Pelodiscus sinensis: one gene and its partners. The protein of the gene in region 1 purifies or fractionates together with the protein of each later gene. This does not show direct contact. Links are inferred from orthologs where the notes say so. Each region holds a gene or a part of one and is shown in the gene's direction. Other genes may lie near its edges.

Region 1 (7,262 bases):
TGGGTCAGTCAGGCAGCCCATCCACTGTCCCCACACCTCATGGTCTCCACCCCTGAGCCCAGGTGACACCACAGTAGTGTGCCTTGGGCCCACTCGGTTACTCCCCTTCCCCCCGTGTTGTATGTTTGCATACAGGACCGTCCCTGGAGTAGGGTCCTCCTCCATGTATTGTAACCACCGGTCTGTGTCCTGGCCCCTTGGAGGGTGGGAGGGATAGCCTTGAGCATAGATAGTGGCAGTACAAACTCAGAAATATAAAAATCTCTTGATTTGGACAGAGGCACATATTCTGTGTAAAGCAATATTGACTAAGGGATTTATGGTTACTAAGGCTTAACCCCAGTGCCCATCTGTATACCTTCCCAAATCTCCCTACATGCTGTTAGGCAAACAATTATTACCCGTGTGTATGTGAATATGTATCTGTCTATATCTATCTATATGCCTATATATCATGCTGCTTCCAGAGAAGATATTTTGTAAAATGTGGATCTTATATATACTAAGCTGCTTCACAGGAGAGTTGTGAAGAATAACTAGTTAATGTTTGAAAGTGTCAGGGACCACAGAAGTGCTATAAGTCATTTAATCATTTCTTACATTAAAATGCAAAATACGTCAAAGTACATTCTGTACAAACTCCAGCATAACACAGATGAAGTCTGAACAAATTAAAGATTAAATTCTTTCCAATCAATGCACCTTTATTTTTTCCTCTGCTCATAATAAAACCTTTCAAGTTCTCATTGTGGAACAAATCCTGTCACCATCCTTGTAAGAAGGCAATAGAACGCAAGGCACACCTATGCTTTGTAAGAGTGGAGGACCAAGCTGCAAGGACTCCATGCAACAAGATTCCACAATCCCTCTACCTACCATGGAATTGTTCTGAAGCTGCATTCTGTTCTGCAACACAGTCTGTGGGGGCAAGTGAGGTTAATTCCATCTCTGCTGTTGATGGGGATTGAGGAATTATGGAAATGTCAATTATTTCTTCCTATGCCATGTAGTAAGGGATGACAGCCCGCCTATTGAAACAACAAAAACCGTGGGACATTAGAATTCTGTTAGTCAGTCCTGTAGAGGCCTTTCAGGGTACATCTACACAGCAAGGCTAAGTCTAGACTGGCATGATTTTCCGCAAATGCTTTTAACGGAAAAGTTTTTCTGTTAAAAGCATTTGCGGAAAAGAGCGTCTAGATTGGCACGGATGCATTTGCGCAAAAGCACTTTTTGCGGAAAAGCGTCCGTGCCAATCTAGATGCAGTTTTGCACAAGAAAGCCCCGATCGCCATTTTTGCCATCGGGGCTTTTTTGCGCAAAACAGTTTTTACCTGTCTACACCGGCCCTCTTGCGCAAAAGCATTTGCACAAGGGGGCTTTTTCCCGAGTGGGAGCATCATAGTATTTGCGCAAGAACACTGACAATCTTACATTAGATCATCAGTGTTCTTGTGCAAATTCAAGTGGCCAGTGTAGACAGCTGACCAGTCTAGACACAGCCCAAAGCTAAAGTGGAATTAAACTACACAATTGCATAGCTTAAATTGAAATAGCTTAATTCGGCTTTTGGTGCTTCGACTTCCCTTACTACTCATGAAATGAGGGTTACCATGAGTCAGAGTAAGAAGTCCTCCATCTCAGCATTATTTCAAAATAAAAGCTTGTAGTTTAGACATGCACTACGTTTTTTCGAAATAATGTCAGTTATTCTGAAATAATGCTGCTGTGTAGACATACCCACATAGAACAGGTTCCTGTGTTTGAAACAGAGATATTATGTAAACTAACAATTTCAGCGATTGTTTGGTTATGTGAACAGGAGACATCTGCAGACCTGACAGCTTTGGTAGTTCCCAGTTGTGCTGCAGCATATGGTCTTCAGGTCTTGGTGTATCTTTATGTATCTTACTTTCTTGACTAGAAGAGTTCAGTTGTCAAGAATGTAATACATTCAAACTCAGTAGGATAGGGTAGGAAAAAATGATAGCTGTTTGCTGCAGAACTCCATAGTGTCAGTGCTAAAAGAGCCTTTTCCACTCTGAAAATGAGTTGAACATTTGCAGTAGGAGAAATGATAACTACAGTGGGAATTCCTAAAGGCTAGATCTATGCTGCACACCACTGGTGCTGGCATATAGGGTACGTGTAACTATATGCCGCAATGAAAAGCAACCTGCATATACTTTGTGGTGTGTAGCAATACATCAATGAAAGATAGCAGTAGGGGGGAAATAGCTGTGGCCAGGGAAAGGCTCTGGTGATGATGAACATTGGGAGCCTTTCCCTACCATCTCCTCCATGCCCTTTCCTTGCTGCTAGAGTCTTTCCATGTGATGGGAAAAATTCCACTATACAAAACAGAACTAAAAGTAGCCCTACAGATGTGGGAGATATTGCTTGGACATGTAGAGAAGTGAAGCTGTTTGTAGGATAGGTGCCCACAGGGTTCAGACATGTCTATACTCCACTCAGCAGTGCTTCCCCGTCTCCACTGCTATTCATGCACATACCAAAAGGATGTCTTACTCCACATGCCTCCATAAAGAGTGCGCAATGCTGACATATTTTCAGTTTAGGTCAGGAACGAGGTAAGAGATCACTCACTGTCAAATGGTCAGTTTCATACAAATTCAAATAGAAACGATGATTGACCATAGATAAAGTGTGTGTGTGTTGGTTTGTGGTTTATTTAGTTTTTGGTGAACTCTGTAAATGTCTGAGTCTATTGCATTCAGGAGGCTAACAGTATGCATTAAATAAATTATTCTTGCACTATCTTCAAGATCGTAGATACATTAGGCTTTACATTATACTTTTTTTCTTATGAGATGTGACAGACATCTCTCCCAGCACCTTTAATCTAGTACCCATCCTTCTTGTGCAATTTGCAATCTGTAATATATACTAAGGTTACCCCCACAGTGCTGCAAAGTTTATTTATGTTGACCTGGTGTGATTTTAAAAAATCCTATTTGTCTCTAATGAAAGCCAGACAATCCACCCACAATGTATCTGATAGTGTAATAGTATTTCCAGATGCACAAACTCAGTATGTTATACTAACCATCAAAAACCCACATAATTTAATGTGTTGTCCAAATGTGTGTGTGCGCATATATATGCTGGTTTGTACAAGGAAAATATTATAAAACAATTTTTTTCTTAATTCAGTATTCCTTAACCAAGCAACACAGGAACAGGAGCATACAATATAGCAAAAACCATTAGTTCCAAGTAGGATCAGTGCCCAAGGGACTATGAGTTATTGAGGGAGGAAAGGACACATAAAAATAATATAGTTAGACTCTTTTTTTCTACTCTCACAAACTCCATAGAGAGTTTTAATGATAAAATGCACACTGTGGGAACAGGATCGGTCCCATAGAAAGCAGTAGCAAAACTCCAAGCTCTAGTGCACTGTCGTAACTTTTTTAATCATTAACTTCGTCCGGTAATTATTTATTTTTCCCCCGGGAGGTCCTTCATAAAGCTCTCTTGGCATTTTTTAAAAAGTTCATTTCCAAATCTCTCCTTTGAAAGCAAAGGAGCGACTGACTGATTTTAGCCTCCCACTCCCGTCTCCCACAATTACTCCTTATCAGTCTTTTGCTTTCTGACAGAGTTGCTCGGGAACTGATTTCCACTCTCGCCTCCTCAAGAACGCAGGCGAGACTTCCCAGTTCGCTTTTGCCAGACATCCTCCCTCTCTCACACACACCCAGAGAGAAGGGCCGAGCCTGTGTTTACTTCCAGGAGGTGCGGAACGCAGGGGATTCCAGCAAAGTCAATGGGATTAGGCTACCTCCTGCGTAGCTGCGGCGATAGTCAAAGGGCGGGGGGGACGTGCAAGTGAGCAGGGCTCCAGTCCTCTCCCAGCCTTTCGCCCAGGGCTCAGCTCGCTCTGCCTCCGCCTGAGGAGCCCTGAGGCAAAGACCGTGCTCGATCCCTGCCCTTCCTAGGTACGAGGCCAAGGGCAGGGCTGCAAAGCTGCAGCCACAGCGAAGAGGGCGAGCTCCTCTTTAGCAAATGCTAAGGCGAGCGGCAGGCTGAGGGGACTGGGCAGGAACTAGGGACATTCGCTTAGCTCCCCCCAGGGCTCCCGGCCCAGGTGAGCGCCCCCCCCCAGCCCCTCACCTGGAACACGGGAGGGGGGAGGCGCCGCCAGGGTGTCTCCTCCTCCAGTCCCGCCCCTGCCCCGCCCCCTGCGCGGGGCGGGCGGATTCCCCAGAGGGAGCCCCTGAGCCTGCTGGCTGGCTGCGTGCGGGGAAAGTTTGGCTGCGAGCGGAGGAGTTGGGACAAGGGGGCGAGAGCGGAGCTGCCGCCTGCCCGAGCCAGCAGCGCCCTCCGCCCCGGGCGCGAGCAGCAGGGTCGCCGCCAGCAGCCCCCGGCACTTGCTCCGCCGCGCACGTGGGGCGGTGGGAGCCGCCGCCGCCGCCCTGGCAGCAGCAGCAGCAGCTCAGCATGGTCTGCAGAGCCGGGCAGCGCAGCTGAGCGCCGCCGGGACCAGGAGGGAGCCGCGACGAGCCCCGGGGATTGTTGCCCAGCCCAGCATGGGGGACTGGAGCCGCCGGCCGCGGGCAGCAGCCAGCGGGCACCTCCGGGCTGGGGGCGCCGCTGTCCTGGTGCTGCTCCTCTCCTGCGTCTGCCTCAGCGCCGCGGTGGAGAAGAAAGGTACCGCTCGCGCCCTGCTGCGCTGCCCGTGTGTTCGGGGGGAGCCCGCTGTCCCCAGGCTGGGGGGGGGTTAAACTTTCCCTCCGGCTCCGTAGCGCTGCGCTGTCCAGATGCCCTGACCGAGAGGGTGTCACTGGCGCGGCGTCCCATTGCCTGAGGCGGGGGCTTGCTTTCTCCTGGGAGGGGAGGGAGAGAAAATCCTGGGCACGTCCCTTGCCCTTTCCCCAGCCAGCACCGCGCGCTGCGATCCCCAGGTTGGCCCCTCGCAACCCGGCCCTCCGGAGCGCCCACCCCCCTTTGCGCCCCGCACGTGTAAACCCGGCAGCGCCCGAGGCGGGTCCTAGGCAGCCTGGCAAACGAAGTCCCTCCGTGCCCTTGTTCTCAGGGGCCTCTCCGAGGCGTCGCTGGGGGGTGCGGAGCCACGAGCGGAGAGGCAGTGACAGGCGGCTGGGTCGGTTTCACAAGCGCTGAGGCTTGTCCTATTGCCCGAGGCTTATTAACGTCTTCCTGGATGGGGGCGCATGGATGATTCACAGACCTGCCGGAGCCAAATAACTCGTGTACCAGGCGAGCCTCAGTTTTGGAACAACTGCAGGCAGGTTGGGCTCTTGGCTTGTGGTTCTCACCGGCTCCTGAGCCCTGTTGAGCTGAAATGCGCGCAGGGGGCACGTTGTGGGGTGACCAGTCTAAACAAATTGGCAAGTTTTGTGAATGGCCGGCGCGGCTTGTTTCTCACGGTCGGCTGCGCTGACTGTTTCTTGTCCTGTAGCCGTGTACTGACGCGGGCGTAGTGAGAACTGTTCAGCCTAGTTTGCAAGGTTTTAATACGTTAAGGAAGCAGTTTCAGTTTGGGGAAGAAAAAAAGTTTTTGGTTGGCCAAACTCTCTCTCTCCCCCCCCCCCCCCTTTTATAAGCTTCAAGGATAGGCAGCCAACTTCGGTTCCAGGCAAAATTGTCTTTATCTTGGGAATCCTCCAACAACAACACAATGCAGATTTTTGTTTAAAAAAAATTGAGAAAAGACCTAATAGTTTTAGAAAGTCTGTTAGAGGAGCGTTAGCATTTCGTGACTCCGAACAATCAAACCATCTTTGAAAAGTAGAAACACGCCTTTTCAGAAAGCTAATTGCACAATCTTGAAATCAAGAGGCACTCTGGTTCCAAGAAGCAAGCTCGTACCTGTTGCTGATGTAATTAGGGCAGGGTTTGGGGGCAGTTGACTCCCTTTGCTGTGATTGTGCAGCTCAGATAAAATTGTTTTGAAACACAGACTGAGTTTTACAATTTCTGCAAAATATTTTGATGCAAGGACAATACTAAAGCTTACAGCATTAAGAGGTAGCAATTATTGTATTGGTGTTACAGTCTCGGAGCCCTAGGTCTGACCAGGAAGGAGCCCATTCTATGATTATTTAATAAGCCAGTAGTAAAGAAATGATAGACAATAGCTTCACCACCCACACCTCGGTTATAATTAGTTGCCAGTGCCTTTTCACATCAGGAGAGTTAGACCTGTTGACCAAGACAGAAGTAGTGTATGTCATCTTCAAATTACACTGAGTTGCCTGATTGTTCTGTTTTTGCTGTATTTGTATGCTCATTAAAGGTGAGCAGCAGAAAAGTGCTTTTAGGTAGCATGCTCCTGCTTCAACAAATTAAATGATAAAATTCCCATTGGAGGCTATGATACAGGAAGAATCCTCACTGAAGAATCATCAAATAGTTATGTAGCACTTTAAAGACTAACAAAACATGTAGATGGTATCATGAGCTTTCATGGGCACAGCCCACTTCTTCAGATGAGCAGAGTGTTGGATGTCCAGGCCCAAAATAAATAGGGGAGAAGGGGGTGGGGATAGAAGAAGGAAAAAATGGGAGGGAGGAACAAGAAGAGGCAGTGGGTAAAAAATATCAAGGGGAAAGCTGAGCTGGAAGTTTTAAGTTTATCCTGGACAGACTAACTTGGATACCCGCTGAAGGTTCATAAAATAGTTCCACATTTTAACTTTTGCCTTCAAAGTAATAGGTGCATGATAGATCAGATCATCTTCATGACCCCAGAACCTGCCTCCATGTTTGGGTACATGGGATCCTTTTTTTGATACGATATATCACCAACTTGAGGGGCTGGAGGTGCATAAGCAATACAAACCAATGAAGTGCTACAGTAAACTAATATGAAGCATCTAAGAAATTTTAAGCTGTATATAGTTATGAGCATTCACATTTTAAAAATTTCACCTGAACTTAATGTCATTTCTTACTGTACAAAGAGATGATTTTTTTAAAGGACTCGGATACTAGTACAATGTTTGTTAGAATGCAAAATGTACAATTTTACATTTTGGTTTGAGTTGAGGTGACTTCAATACCATTTTTTTTAAAAATCTTTCTTTAAACATTGAGAATTAAAAACAAATTTAAATACAGCCGAGTGAAAACTAATCTTGGTTTTTTTTTTTTTTTTTAAAGAATCATCAACTTTCCCAAACCAAATCAGTGATACTAAACATTTTAACATACTGACAGATGAGAATCTGGCTCAGCCTCAGATCCATTGGTGTAAACACAGATTAATGCAACAATGA
Region 2 (7,047 bases), on another chromosome or scaffold:
ACCCAGGTGAGTATTTAAGTTTTAAGAATGCCTGATAGAGATCCTGTAGGTGTTTGTCTCTGTCTGTCAGATAGGAGCAAATCCGGTTGTATCTTAAAGCCTGTCTGTAAACGATTGTGTAACGTGTCCTGGATGGAAGCTAGAGGTATGTAGCTAAGAATAATGGTCATTAGGTTTCTGATGTAGGGTGGTGGAAATGTGGCCATTGTACTGTAGTGTCAAGGAAATGGATCTCTTGTGTGAACTGGTCCGGGCTAAGGTTGATAGTGGTATGGAAGTTGTTGAAATCCCTGTGGAATTCTTCAAGGGTTTCGTCCTGTGGTTCCATATAACAAAGATGTCGTCAACTTGAAGATATAAATGGTCCCAAATTGGAAATAGTTGTGGGTGAGGACAAAGTCACAGTGCACAGTAACCAGGTGTGCAGTAGCATCATCAGGGATAGTGTTCCTGACAGCTAGTAATAATCATCATGTGGAAAGTTGGAGTAAAGAGCTTCTATATCCATGGTGGCCAGGATGGTGTTTTCAGGAAGATTACTGATGTTCTGTAGTTTCCTTAGCAAGTCAGTGATGTCTTGAAGGTAGCTAGGAGTGCTGATAGCATAGAGTCTGAGGAGAGAGTCAACATAACCAGATAATTCTGCTGTAAGTGTGCTGAAGCCTGAGATGATAGGACATCCGGGATTTCCAGGTTTATGGATCTTGGGTAGCAGATAGAAAACTCCTGGTTAGAGATTTAGCAAGGGGTTTGTATAGATTTCATCCCAAGTTTCATGAGCAGATGGTGTAGGGTTTTTCTGAGTATTCTTCAGTGGGATCAGAGGAAAGAGGCCTGTAGAATGTGGTGTTGATGAGTTTTCTTGCAGCCTCCTGTTTGTAATCTGTCCTGTTCTTGATGACTATAGCACCCCCTTTGTCAGCCTCTTTGATTATAACCTTAGAATTGTTTTTGAAGCTGTGTATAGTGTTGTGTTCTGCATGGTGGAGGTTATATGTCACATATTGTTGTTTGTTCATGTCAACCTGTGCATGTACATGAAAGAGTAATTAACACTTCCTTATTTACTTTCTCCACACCAGTCATGATTTTATAGACTTCTACCATATCTCCCCTTAGACTGTGCCTACACTGTGTATTTTACAACAGCATGGCTGTGACACTGCAGCTGTGCCATTGTGAAAACCGCAGTGTAGCTGCTCTTTGTTCCTGGGAGAGAGCTCTCCAGGCAACAAAATACACTCTCCCCCAAATGAGGGGTCGTGGCTTTGTCGGTGGGAGAGCATTTCCTTGCCAATGAAGTGCTGTCCACTCTGGCGCATTTAATCGTTCAAACTTTTGTTGTGCAGGGGGTGTTTTTCAGCAAAAGTGCAGTGTAGACATGGCATGGACCTTTGGAGTTGGAAAAGACAGCTAAGGGCCGTGGGCTCTTTCCTGGTCACAGAGGGCTGCACTGTGTGCTTTACAACAACGTGGTTGCAGTAGCTCAGCTGTACAATTTTCAGGTGTGCAGTGTAAACGTAACCAAGTCTCGTTAATCTCCATCCCCCTCATCATTTCTGTTGCCCTTTTCTGTACCTTTTTTAACATGAGGCAACCTGAAGTACAGAAGTTGATTTTAAAAACAGGTTACATACCGGTTAGTAGTTCAATTTCACATTTGAGTTACTTCCGAACTCTTGGGTGATACCATCTGGTGCTGGTGACTTATTAATGTTTATCAGTTTGTTCCAAAACTTCCTCTAATGACACCTCAATCTCAGACTATTCCTTAGATTTGACATCTAAAAAGAATGGCTCAGGTTTGGGAATGTCCATCGTATTCTCAGCAGTGGAAAAATTAAATGATTTCTTAATTTAATTTCTCCACTATGCTTTACCCACCTTGAGTGACCCCATTGATTGTTTAGCAGGCTTCCTACTTCTGATTTTTTTTTTAATGTTAAACTTTCTGAGTCTTTGGCTAACTGTTCTTCATATTCTTTTTTATCTTTCCTAGTTATATTTTTACACTTCACTTGCCAGAGTTTATATTCTTTTCTGTTTTTCTCAGTAGAATTTAATTTCTACTTTGACTTTATTGCTTAGCCACAGTAGCACTTTACTATATTTTTTAAATTGGGTTATGTATTGAATTTAAGCCTCTATAATGGGGTCTTTAAAAAAAGCTTCCATGCAGCTTGCAAGGATTTGAGTTTCACACTAGCTTTTCTTTGCTGTATAACTTCTCATGAAAACTCAAATATCAAGCAGGAACACAACAAGGGTGGGAGGGCAGGCAGAACAGCACCCCCTGACTAGAACTGGCTGGCATAATGGTAGGGCACCCTCTTTAGCAAAATTCTAGTTGCCCCCTTGATGGTGGGGGAGGCTGTGTGACTGATCCAAGCAAGAGGGGAAGGAAAGGGTGTGGGATGCCAGGTCTGGTGGGGGTGTCAATCTCTAAGGGGTGGGTGATAGTCCCTATGGTGCCAACCCTGGCAAGGGCAGGCTGCCAAACTTGGTGGAGGCAGGTGGCTAATGCCAGGCCCTAATGGAGATGAGTGAAGGTGCCAACACCCAACAGGGGTGCCAGGCCCCGGAGGCAGGAACAGGTGATGGGTACCAGGCTCTAAGGAGGGTGGGTGGCAGGCAAGAGGAAGCCAGGGCCTGTGCAGCAGGGAGAGGGGGACAGGTAGCTGTCTGGCCCTAGGATGGAGGCTGCCAGTCCCTAGGGAGGCAGAAAGGAGGGAGCCAGACAAGGGGTGCCAGGCTCTAAAATGGTAAGGTAGGTCCGGAAGTGCCAGCCCCTGGTAGAGGCGGGTAAGCGGTGCCAGGCTCTAAGGGGTAAGGCAGCTCCTAGGGGGAGTGGGAGGACCCAGGTAAGGGATGCCAGATTCTAAGGGGGGGGGTGGCAGGTAACGGTGCCAGGCTCGAAGGGGTAAGGCAGGTCCTGGAAGGGGGGGGAGAGACAGGTAAAGGTGCCAGGCTCGAAGGGGTAAGGCAGGTCCTGGAAGGGGAGCGGGGGAGAGAGAGACAGGTAAAGGTGCCAGGCTCGAAGGGGTAAGGCAGGTCCTGGAAGGGGGGCAGGAGAGACAGGTAAAGGTGCCAGGCTCGAAGCGGTAAGACAGGTCCTGGAAGGGGAGCAGGGCAGACAGGTAAAGGTGCCAGGCTCAAAGGGGTAAGGCAGGTCCTGGAAGGGGGGCGGGGCAGACAGGTAAAGGTGCCAGGCTCAAAGGGGTAAGGCAGGTCCTGGAAGAGGGGCGGGGGAGACAGGTAAAGGTGCCAGACTCGAAGGGGTAAGGCAGGTCCTGGAAGGGGAGCAGGGCAGACAGGTAAAGGTGCCAGGCTCGGAGGGGTAAGGCAGGTCCTGGAAGGGGAGCAGGGCAGACAGGTAAAGGTGCCAGGCTCGGAGGGGTAAGGCAGGTCCTGGAAGGGGAGCAGGGCAGACAGGTAAAGGTGCCAGGCTCGGAGGGGTAAGGCAGGTCCTGGAAGGGGAGCAGGGCAGACAGGTAAAGGTGCCAGGCTCGGAGGGGTAAGGCAGGTCCTGGAAGGGGGGCGGGGCAGACAGGTAAAGGTGCCAGGCTCGGAGGGGTAAGGCAGGTCCTGGAAGGGGAGCAGGGCAGACAGGTAAAGGTGCCAGGCTCGAAGGGGTAAGGCAGGTCCTGGAAGGGGAGCAGGGCAGACAGGTAAAGGTGCCAGGCTCGGAGGGGTAAGACAGGTCCTGGAAGGGGAGCAGGGCAGACAGGTAAAGGTGCCAGGCTCGGAGGGGTAAGGCAGGTCCTGGAAGGGGAGCAGGGCAGACAGGTAAAGGTGCCAGGCACGGAGGGGTAAGGCAGGTCCTGGAAGGGGAGCAGGGCAGACAGGTAAAGGTGCCAGGCTCGGAGGGGTAAGGCAGGTCCTGGAAGGGGAGCAGGGCAGACAGGTAAAGGTGCCAGGCTCGGAGGGGTAAGGGGCCCTGGTGGGGGGGCCAGGCCCTGGGGGAGGCGCGTACCGGGCCGGCAGGGGAGGTGCCGGGCCGCGCAACGCCCAGCGGGGGGAGGAGGGACGCTCCCTCCCCTAAGCTGGCGGCGGCGGCCGGGCCTGCCCCCAGGAGGCTCCGGGCCGGCCAGCTCCGCCCCGCGCAGGACCGGACGGGAGGCGGCAGCGAAGATGGCGGCGGCGGCGGCGGGGGCCGGGCAGGCGGGCCCGGACCGGGAGCTGGACGAGCTGCTGGAGAGTAAGGGGCTGGGGAGCGGCCCCGGGGCTCTCTGGCGGGGGAAGGGGAGGATCCTAGCCCGGGGGGGGGGGCTGGAGGGGCGAAGGGCTCGGGATGTAAGATCAGATGGGGGGTCAGGCCTGGTGTGGGGCTGATCGGTGGGGGGGGCTTCCATCACGTGGGGACCCCTGTGGCAGGACAGGACTGTATCTAGCAGGGCCTCGGTCTTGAGACACCCCGTCACTTGTATTCTCGGCCAGCAGGGCCCCAGGGGCTCCACCCCTCTGGCAGCGTTTGAGGGAGCTGCTGGTAGAGGTGCGGCTGGGGTGGCTCTCCTGTCAGGCCCTTGATTGCCCTGCAGGTTACTGGGGGGCTGGGATTTCAGGGGTGCTGCGGGCTGCGCCCTGCCTCCCTCCAGGGGGCTCTGAGTGACCAGCAGCTGAGAGGGCCCATCTACTAAAACATTCAAAGTTGAGATCCAAGTGCTTGAGACCCAGTGAATGTGGGGTGGAGACCTGCCAAACTGTGGTAAATAAACATAATCTTGGACATAACGTGGGCTGTATGATGATGGTGTGAATGGGGGCCTCTAAAAGTTGCTGGGTTAGGAAGCATTATTATTTCTGAGTGCTATCGGAGCGTGGCATTCATCTGAAATAGGCGTTCTCAGCCGACTAGGACGCTCTGTTCACAACAGCTGGTCTTTGACCCTCTTGGCTTGAGGCTGCCAGGTTGACCTTGGTCCATATTTGAGTTTGGGGGACTTAAAGGGAGATTCATTGGGTGTCGGGTGACTCTCTTGTCAGTTATCCAGGGCCCAGTGCAAGGGTGGCAGGTGCTGGTCAGAGGGCTATGTCCTCTGGAAGAGAGGTGAAAGTTACCAGCCATGTGTGTTTGTTTTGGGCTGCCTGGCCACTAACTCTGTTGGGGATGAATTGCTGCTTAGGTGATCACCCTGCACAAATTTCCCTGCAGCTTTATTTAGATACAACATACTTTGTCCCTCATTTGTCCTACATTTACTTACATGGCTGTTAAACAGCCACCATGCTTCACCCCGGCATTTCAGTGGATGAACTGATTTCTGTTGTAGGCATGGGTGCGGGTGGCTTGCTTTATATTGCCCTAGGGCCCAGAGACTAACCAACCTGAGCTCCGTTGTGCTAGATGCTGTATATAAAACATGGCAGACTCCACCCCACAAAGCTTATAACCTAAAAGCCAAGGCATAAAGCAGGGAACCTTTTTTGGGGAACCTTTTTTGGGTCGGGGACCACTGACCCCCAGAAAAATCAGTCAGAGGCCCCGCACAAGTGAAAAGCAAAGTCAGAAACCCCTCACTGAGAAGGAGAAAGACATTCTCCACATTCCCCATGCACACCAGAGCCTAAAGGGGCCCAGGCTAGTAGATTTTGTGTGCTCCAGCCCTGTTAGGAGTAGGCTCAGCACCTACTATGTCCCAATGCTGAGCATCGGGGGCCAGAACTAGGCAAGCTGGGGGCCGGATCTAGGCAAGGGCCCACAGGCCTGAGGTTCCCCACCCCTGGCATAAAGCGTGGATGAAACAAACAATTTGTGGTGGGGAAAGAAGGTAACAAATAATAAGATGTGGGTAATTTTTAGCCAGGAGCAGAATCTGTGAATCCTTAAAGGGACACTGTCACACTAAGGAAAAGTACTACAAAGTTTTCTCAACTATGTCATAACATCTCAGATCACTAACACTGAATGAATGCTAAGAATGTTGAGCCCAGTTTTGCACAGCCTTAGTGTTTTGTGGCTTTATGCATAGCCATTCTTCCACTGAGTAAGAAGTCAGTGGTGCAGCTAAACTTGCTTTCAGGGGTGGTGCCAATCTCCTAATTCTTTGTGCTCCTTGTTGGTAAAGGTTGGACTTCCCTGGTCCAGCACCCTCAGAACTGGACTGGTCCTGCATGAGGGAATTTGCAAGACTTGGGGAGGTTCCCTGCCACTGCCCCCCAACCCACTGCTGGCTCAGGTTACGGCCCCGGCCGGTCACCCTACCACTGGCCCTGGGCAGGCTGCCTGCCGGGCTGCCGCAGCCCCATAACCCCTGCCGGGCTGCCGCAGCCCCATAACCCCTGCCGGGCTGCCGCAGCCCCATAACCCCTGCCGGGCTGCCGCAACCCCATAACCCCTGCCGGGCTGCCGCAGCCCCATAACCCCTGCCGGGCTGCCGCAGCCCCAGCCCTCCTGCCGGATTGCTACGATGTGGCGATACTGGCTCCTCTACTGGGCTGCTGTGTTGCTACACCGTAGCTCCTCAGGTAGGCTGCTGCTGCCTCAACCTTGGCTCCTCTGCCAGGCTATTGGGTTGCCACAGTCCCCCCTCACTTGCCAGGCTGCTGCCAGCCCCACTGGGCTCCCAGGGCTCCCAGCTGCTAGCTGTCCTGCTGCCCAGCTCCCAGCCACTGGGGCTCTCTGGCCCTGGGATCATCCTTGGCCCTCAAGGGATACCATCCGGCTTGTTTGAATATTGATGCAATCTAGCCAAGTGCTCTTCTGGTTCACAGCGAGTTTTTGACCAGTTTTCTTTGAGATTTTTCTGGTGCCAGCCTTGTGCTGCACAGCTTGGTTCTCATAGAAATAATTTTAATTGAATTTTAAACATTTCATTAGCTCTTTATATTAATTTTGAAACAATCTTTCAGGCCATCGAAACCTGCAGCTAAATTTAACCCGATTGAGTCCCTTTAACTGTCCCTCACCTAGGTGTCTTGTGTCAGTTCATCAACGTGAGCCCTGGAGGGAGGGGGAACTTGCCCCACAAAGCTGGATCTTCAGGGATCACGGCTATGCCGCCATGCTGCGTGTGCATAAAATAAAGTACCACGCATAGGCTGAGAACT
Region 3 (7,074 bases), on another chromosome or scaffold:
CAGCCCCCCCTCCCCACCCAGACACAAGACAGACCCCAGGAGTCCTCCCCCGCTGTAACCCCCAGCCCCCCCTCCCCACCCAGACACAAGACAGACCCCAGGAGTCCTCCCCTGCTGTAACCCCCAGCCCCCCCCCCCACCCAGACACAAGACAGACCCCAGGAGTCCTCCCCCGCTGTAACCCCCAGCCCCCCCTCCCCACCCAGACACAAGACAGACCCCAGGAGTCCTCCCCTGCTGTAACCCCCAGCCCCCCCCTCCCCACCCAGACACAAGACAGACCCCAGGAGTCCTCCCCTGCTGTAACCCCCAGCCCCCCCCTCCCCACCCAGACACAAGACAGACCCCAGGAGTCCTCCCCTGCTGTAACCCCCAGCCCCCCCCCACCCAGACACAAGACAGACCCCAGGAGTCCTCCCCTGCTGTAACCCCCAGCCCCCCCCCCCCCCAGACACAAGACAGACCCCAGGAGTCCTCCCCTGCTGTAACCCCCAGCCCCCCCCTCCCCACCCAGACACAAGACAGACCCCAGGAGTCCTCCCCTGCTGTAACCCCCAGCCCCCCCCCCCCCAGACACAAGACAGACCCCAGGAGTCCTCCCCTGCTGTAACCCCCAGCCCCCCCCCCACCCAGACACAAGACAGACCCCAGGAGTCCTCCCCCGCTGTAACCCCCAGCCCCCCCCCCCCCCAGACACAAGACAGACCCCAGGAGTCCTCCCCTGCTGTAACCCCCAGCCCCCCCCCCACCCAGACACAAGACAGACCCCAGGAGTCCTCCCCCGCTGTAACCCCCAGCCCCCCCCTCCCCACCCAGACACAAGACAGACCCCAGGAGTCCTCCCCTGCTGTAACCCCCAGCCCCCCCCCCACCCAGACACAAGACAGACCCCAGGAGTCCTCCCCCGCTGTAACCCCCAGCCCCCCCTCCCCACCCAGACACAAGACAGACCCCAGGAGTCCTCCCCTGCTGTAACCCCCAGCCCCCCCCCCACCCAGACACAAGACAGACCCCAGGAGTCCTCCCCTGCTGTAACCCCCAGCCCCCCCCCCACCCAGACACAAGACAGACCCCAGGAGTCCTCCCCTGCTGTAACCCCCAGCCCCCCCCTCCCCACCCAGACACAAGACAGACCCCAGGAGTCCTCCCCCGCTGTAACCCCCAGCCCCCCCCTCCCCACCCAGACACAAGACAGACCCCAGGAGTCCTCCCCCGCTGTAACCCCCAGCCCCCCACTCCCCACCCAGACACAAGACAGACCCCAGGAGTCCTCCCCTGCTGTAACCCCCAGCCCCCCCCCCCCCAGACACAAGACAGACCCCAGGAGTCCTCCCCTGCTGTAACCCCCAGCCCCCCCCCCCCACCCAGACACAAGACAGACCCCAGGAGTCCTCCCCTGCTGTAACCCCCAGCCCCCCACTCCCCACCCAGAGCCAACACAACCCAGGTAATGGCTCGCAGCCCCCCACCCCCGCTCTAAGCACTAGCCCCCACTCCTCTCTGAGAACCCAGGCGTCCTGGCTCTCAGACCTCTCCCCCTCTTCCTTCCCCCCAGAGAGCGCCCAGGGCTCTTGGCGCTCACTGTGTGCTGGGGGGCTACATGGGGGTCACTTCCTCCCAGGCTCGGGCCTTCTCTGCCGCCCAGCCCATGAGGGCCGGGGCCCGGGCGAGGAAGATGGCGAGGAGGGTGCGGACGTCGCCCTCGGCCGAGTGGGCCCCGTCGGGCTCCCTGCCGAAGAGCCCCCGGAACAGCGCCCCCAGGTTGTAGCCCCTCTCGCTCCCCAGGCCCAGCTCCTGCAGGGCCCTCAGGGTGTCCAGGCAGCCGGTGCCAGGAGGCAGCTCGGCCCCCACACGCGCCAGCTCCGCCCGCAGCAAGGGGAAATCGTAGTCGAAGCCATTGTGGGCCACCAGGCAGAGGGGGGCGGCTTGGCGGGCCAGGAACCCGCCCAGGGCCCGAGCCACGGCCTGGTCCAGACCCCGCTTGCCGTTCTCCTGCAGGCCCTGCTGGCTGAGCCCCGTGATGTCGGCGGCTTTCGGGCTGAAGGGCTTCAGGGGGTCGATGCACAGGGTCAGCTGGTCCAGGATGCGGGGCAACTGGGGGGCGCCAGCGGCGTCCTGCGGGGGGCGCTGTAGGAGGGAGCGGCGATGCAGGGCGAAGAGGCACAGCTCAGCCAAGCGGGGGTGCTCCTGGGGCAGGCCGGTGGTCTCCAGGTCCAGAAAGACGAAGGTTTGGAAATCCTGAGGGGCCAGCATGGCTGGGGTCGGAGAGGAAGAGGAGTGAGGGGAAGCAGGTGATGCGGCTGTCTCTGGGGTAGAGCAGGGAGCCAGGACTCCTGGGCTCCGTCCCCAGCAATGGGAGGGGAATGGAGTCTAGTGGTTAGGGCGGGGGAGGGAGGGGCTGGGAGCCAGGACTCCTGGGCTCCGTCCCCGTCCCCCCCGCAATGGGAGGGGAGTGGAGTCTAGTGGTTAGGGCGGGGGAGGGAGGGGCTGGGAGCCAGGACTCCTGGGCTCTGTCCCCAGCAATGGGAGGGGAGTGGAGTCTAGTGGTTAGGGCGGGGGAGGGAGGGGCTGGGAGCCAGGACTCCTGGGCTCCGTCCCCAGCAATGGGAGGGGAGTGGGGTCTAGTGGTTAGGGCGGGGGAGGGAGGGGCTGGGAGCCAGGACTCCTGGGCTCCATCCCCCCCGCAATGGGAGGGGAGTGGAGTCTAGTGGTTAGGGCGGGGGAGGGAGGGGCTGGGAGCCAGGACTCCTGGGCTCTGTCCCCAGCAATGGGAGGGGAGTGGGGTCTAGTGGTTAGGGCGGGGGGGGGACCAGGACACTCACCTGCTCAGTGACTGCGTGCCTCAGTTTCCCAGTGTGTGCAGGCGCCCCGCTCTCCCTGCAGGAGTGTCTCTCGCGGTGCCCTGGCGCTGTGTGAGCTGCGGGAGGGCAGGACACCTGTTTGGGGGGGCGGGGGGGCGGGGCGCTCGTGGGGAAATCGAAACTGGCCAAGGAGAAGTGATGAGTCACACGGGCTCGTATCTCCCGCGGCCTTCTGGGGGCGGTGAGCGCCCTGCCCCCCTCCGAGGGCCCAGGGGCCCTGCCCCCCCGAACCCAGGCGCCCTGCCCCCCCCGAGGGCCCAGGCGCCCTGCCCCCCCGAACCCAGGCGCCCTGCCCCCCCCCGAGGACCCAGGCGCCCTGCCCCCCCGAACCCAGGCGCCCTGCCCCCCCCGAGGGCCCAGGCGCCCTGCCCCACCGAACCCAGGCGCCCTGCCCCCCCCGAGGGCCCAGGCGCCCTGCCCCCCCGAACCCAGGCGCCCTGCCCCCCCCGAGGTCCCAGGCGCCCTGCCCCCCCCCGAGGGCCCAGGCGCCCTGCCCCCCCGAACCCAGGCGCCCTGCCCCCCCCGAGGGCCCAGGCGCCCTGCCCCCCCGAACCCAGGCGCCCTGCCCCCCCCGAGGTCCCAGGCGCCCTGCCCCCCCCCGAGGACCCAGGCACCCTGCCCCCCCTCCGAGGGCCCAGGCGCCCTGCCCCCCCGAACCCAGGCGCCCTGCTCCCCCCCGAGGACCCAGGCGCCCTGCCCCCCCCGAGGGCCCAGACGCCCTGCCCCCCCCGAACCCAGGCGCCCTGCTCCCCCCCGAGGACCCAGGCGCCCTGCTCCCCCCCGAGGACCCAGGCGCCCTGCCCCCCCCGAGGGCCCAGGCGCCCTGCCCCCCCCGAACCCAGGCGCCCTGCCCCCCCCCAGGACCCAGGCGCCCTGCCCCCCCCCCCAGAACCCAGGCGCCCGGGCTCAGCGGGGCGGGCGGGGAGTTCCCCAGCTGGGAGGGGGCGTTGCGAGGGGCGCGAGACCGTTGCCAGGGAGGGGGGGGGGAAGCTGGGCGGACACGCGGGCTAGGGCGTTGCTAGGGCGGGCCGAGCGAGCCGTTGCTAGGGCGGGCCGAGCGGAGCGGAGCGGGGCGGGGCGTTGCTAGGGCGGGCCGAGCAGAGCGGGGCGGGGCGTTGCTAGGGCGGGCCGAGCGGGGCGGGGCGTTGCTAGGGCGGGCCCAGCGGGGCGGGGCGAGCGGTTGCTAGGGCGGGCCGAGCGGGGCGGGGCGTTGCTAGGGCGGGCCCAGCGGGGCGGGGCGTTGCTCGGGGCGGCGCGCTGCGCCCTTGCCGGCCCCTCCCCCGCGTGTCACTTCCTGTCGCCGCTGGCGCCTCCTGGGCCCGCTCCGCGCCGGAAGCGCCCGCCCCGCCCCGCCCGCCATGGAGCGGTACCGGGACCTGTCGGACACCGAGCTCGTCGCCCGGCTGCAGCGCTACGGCATCGCGCACGGGCCCGTCGTGGGTACGGGGGGGAGGGGCGCTGGGGGGCCGCGAGGGAGGAGCTGGGGGGGGCCGCGGGGGGGGATCTGGGGGGGGCTGGGGGGCCGCGAGGGGGGATCTGGGGGGGGCGCTGGGGGGCCGTGGGGAGGCAAGAGAAGCAGGCTCTGGGGGGCAGCCAGCGGGGTGTGATGGGAACAGGCGGAGCAGGGATGGGGGGGGGGCAGAGACATTCTGTGAGCTGTGGGGGGCAGGGCACCGTGGGCCCACCTGACCCCCCCCCCCTTGTCTCCCGGCCCCCAGGATCGACCCGGAAGCTCTATGAGAAGAAGATCTATGAGTTCGAGAGCCAGCGCACCAAGCTGTCGCCCCTGGGGGGTCTGTGAGCTACTCGGGTGAGTGGGGGGCCAGGAGGGCTGGGGAGGAGCCAGCAGCGTAGCCGCTGACACCCTCCCCCCCCCCCCCTTTTCTGTGTGTCCAGAGCCCAGCACTACCAAGACCTACATCCAGGAATCCTACAGCTACCGCCCACCAGAGGAGCGGCACCGCTACGGGGACGACAGTGAGAGGGGCTGCGGGGTGGAGTGAGGGCCGTGGGCAGAGCTTGGGGGGTGGGCACCCTGGGTCGGGCAGGGCCGGAGGGGGGGGCTGGGCTGGCAGGGGCTGTGGGTGGCAAGTGAGGGGCGCCGGCAGAGCTCAGGCTGGGATGAGCAGCAGACTGTGGGTTGGGAGTGAGGGGCATGGCAGTTTTCCTGGACTTGGGGTACAAAGGTTGGGGCATCTGGGGGTTCCTTTCTCCCATGGGGGTGGGGGCTAAAGGTGCCCTCCCACTAATCCCTCCTGTGTGTCTCTGCCTCCAGATATCCAGCCCCACCAGGACGTACACGCGGGAGCTGTATGATTTTCCTCGCCGAGAGGGTCGCACCAGCTACCTTGGGGATGGTGAGGGGGGCAGGCATTTCCTCTGGTGCGGGTGCAAGGGGGGTACAGAGCAGGGAGGATGTGTGGGAACACAGAGGGGAGGGGAAGCTTTGTAACTTCTCAGGCCTGGGCCTGACACCCCATCCCCACCCCGTCCCCCAGGCCACATTGACATTCCTGCACCAGGGAGTTCCAGGGGTGGTGCTCTGGGGGGGTGGGGGGAGAAGAGCCACGCCCAGCCCCTATCTCACCCCACTCCTCCCCCCCAGATGTGGACAGCGAGTCTTACGAAGAATCTTCCTCCTCCTCCTCCTCGTGGTTCTACGGGTCAGGCCCAGGTCCCATGGGGGAAGCCACTGCCCGCCAGCCGGTAAGTCAGGCCTTATTTGGGGGCAGGGATCTGGGGCAGGGGGCAGCTCCAGTTCTCTCCCTACGCTCTCTGCCCCCCGCCCCAACCCAGACTCTCACACTGCCCCTCCGCTCCCTCCTACTTGGTCCTACCACATCTGACCCCCAATTCTGCCCCATCTCCAGCACCCTGGGGCAATCCTGCACTTGGCTGCTGGTCCAGCCTGGCAGGCTGTTGGCGGCTGGGTGATGGGAGGGGCTGGTGAAGCTGGAACTAAGTTGGGTGATGTTGTGTGGTGTAGAGTCAGTCCCTTGCTGGTTGCTCTGCATGGGCTGTGGGTGACCCCCGCTGGCGGCTGTCCGGAAGCATGACCCAGCAGCAGGTGCCTGGCCGCCCCAGGGCACCTTTGTAACAAAATGTCAACTTTGTAACTGTTAAAGCACCAGCTGTCAGCATGGCCTACCCAAGCAGAGCAAGTACCCTGAACCACAGCCCGAGAAGCGGTCCCCGCTGGCTGTTGCTGTCAGTAGCCCGCCTTTCTTTTTTTTGAGTTGAGTGTCTGCGGAAACCGAGCTTTGCTGGGCTCGATCGATAAGAATCGAATCCTTCCCGCTGGCTCTGCCGCTCCCGTCATGGCAAACGAAAAGGGAATCGCTGGACTCTAGCTCCTCCCTTGGTCCCCCCGAGTAAGGCCTCGAGTGTGACTGTCGGGCCCGGGCGCGCTCCTGTTGAAGCACACGCAACCCTGGAGGTGCCCTTCATTCAGTTTAGGTCTCTCCCTTTCGAAGGGAGCTGAATTAAGGCCACTTGCTCTAGTGCTAGAGCACGAAGGGCCCCGGCTTGCCTCTGCGCCCAGCGCTGCCGGGCTGGCACTGCTTAGTGTCTGCTGTTCCAGAGCCAAAGAGGGTGCAGGGGGAGGGGGACTCCCCAAGGAAAGGCTGGTGGTGCAGCGTGTCCCGTGCTGGAGAGATGCAAATGACTCCCTAGACAGAGCCAGGGTATGTGGCTGAGCGAGCTCCTGCCCCATAGCTGGACAGCACCTGCAGCCCCCCATGCCTGGAGTAACCTGATGATTGGGGCCCTACCAATTTCACTGCGGTAGAAAATGTGCCAGGGCTCCCTCCCCCCCCTTAGCAGCCCTCCCCCCACAGCTCCCCCTCCCCTCTTCCCTGTAGAAGCAGCCATCTGTGTGTTCCCTCCCTCCCCTGCAGACTGCTCTGCACAGGCACCTCAGACCCCGGAAGCGCCCAGCTGTGGCAGCAGCACAGAAGTGAGGGGACAGGCCCAAGGGCCTTGGGGGGGGGAGGTTTCAGGTGAACACGTTTGCGAACCAGGTGGGTGTGAAATTGGCCAGCCTGGGGCGTGACGGCCGATGCTTTTCCTTGCAGATCGGCGAGTCCGCGGCCTACGCCCCCAGCAGGACAGAGGAGGCTGAGAGGTGAGACGCAGTTGTTGGGGTAGGGCCCCCCTCCGAGGGGCCAGCTGGCATTGACGGGAGGGGGCTGGAGTCTAAGGGGGGAGCTGTGGG

The links. Proteins that work in one complex are often made in the same cells at the same time.
Region 2: the proteins of EGFR (region 1) and PEX19 purify together in Homo sapiens (co-immunoprecipitation; 3 studies listed by BioGRID and IntAct, with this or other methods). This does not show direct contact. The link is inferred for Pelodiscus sinensis from reciprocal best matches to the Homo sapiens genes EGFR and PEX19.
Region 3: the proteins of EGFR (region 1) and EMD purify together in Homo sapiens (affinity purification with mass spectrometry; 4 studies listed by BioGRID and IntAct, with this or other methods). This does not show direct contact. The link is inferred for Pelodiscus sinensis from reciprocal best matches to the Homo sapiens genes EGFR and EMD.

The regions. Positions count from the first base shown.
Region 1 is NC_134712.1:164,043,086-164,050,347, forward strand, and holds the start of EGFR (epidermal growth factor receptor), read left to right. Parts: upstream 1-4,245; 5' UTR 4,246-4,553; coding exon 4,554-4,674; intron 4,675-7,262. UniProt on the Homo sapiens protein: Receptor tyrosine kinase binding ligands of the EGF family and activating several signaling cascades to convert extracellular cues into appropriate cellular responses.
Region 2 is NC_134734.1:14,636,682-14,643,728, reverse strand, and holds the start of PEX19 (peroxisomal biogenesis factor 19), read left to right. Parts: upstream 1-4,027; 5' UTR 4,028-4,131; coding exon 4,132-4,198; intron 4,199-7,047. UniProt on the Homo sapiens protein: Necessary for early peroxisomal biogenesis. Acts both as a cytosolic chaperone and as an import receptor for peroxisomal membrane proteins (PMPs).
Region 3 is NW_027466045.1:55,910-62,983, reverse strand, and holds the start of EMD (emerin), read left to right. Parts: upstream 1-4,054; 5' UTR 4,055-4,219; coding exon 4,220-4,301; intron 4,302-4,579; coding exon 4,580-4,654; intron 4,655-4,700; coding exon 4,701-4,711; intron 4,712-4,759; coding exon 4,760-4,838; intron 4,839-4,987; coding exon 4,988-5,218; intron 5,219-5,466; coding exon 5,467-5,567; intron 5,568-6,934; coding exon 6,935-6,984; intron 6,985-7,074. Other genes in the region: TREX2 (three prime repair exonuclease 2), read right to left, coding at 1,597-2,253. UniProt on the Homo sapiens protein: Stabilizes and promotes the formation of a nuclear actin cortical network. Stimulates actin polymerization in vitro by binding and stabilizing the pointed end of growing filaments. Inhibits beta-catenin activity by preventing its accumulation in the nucleus.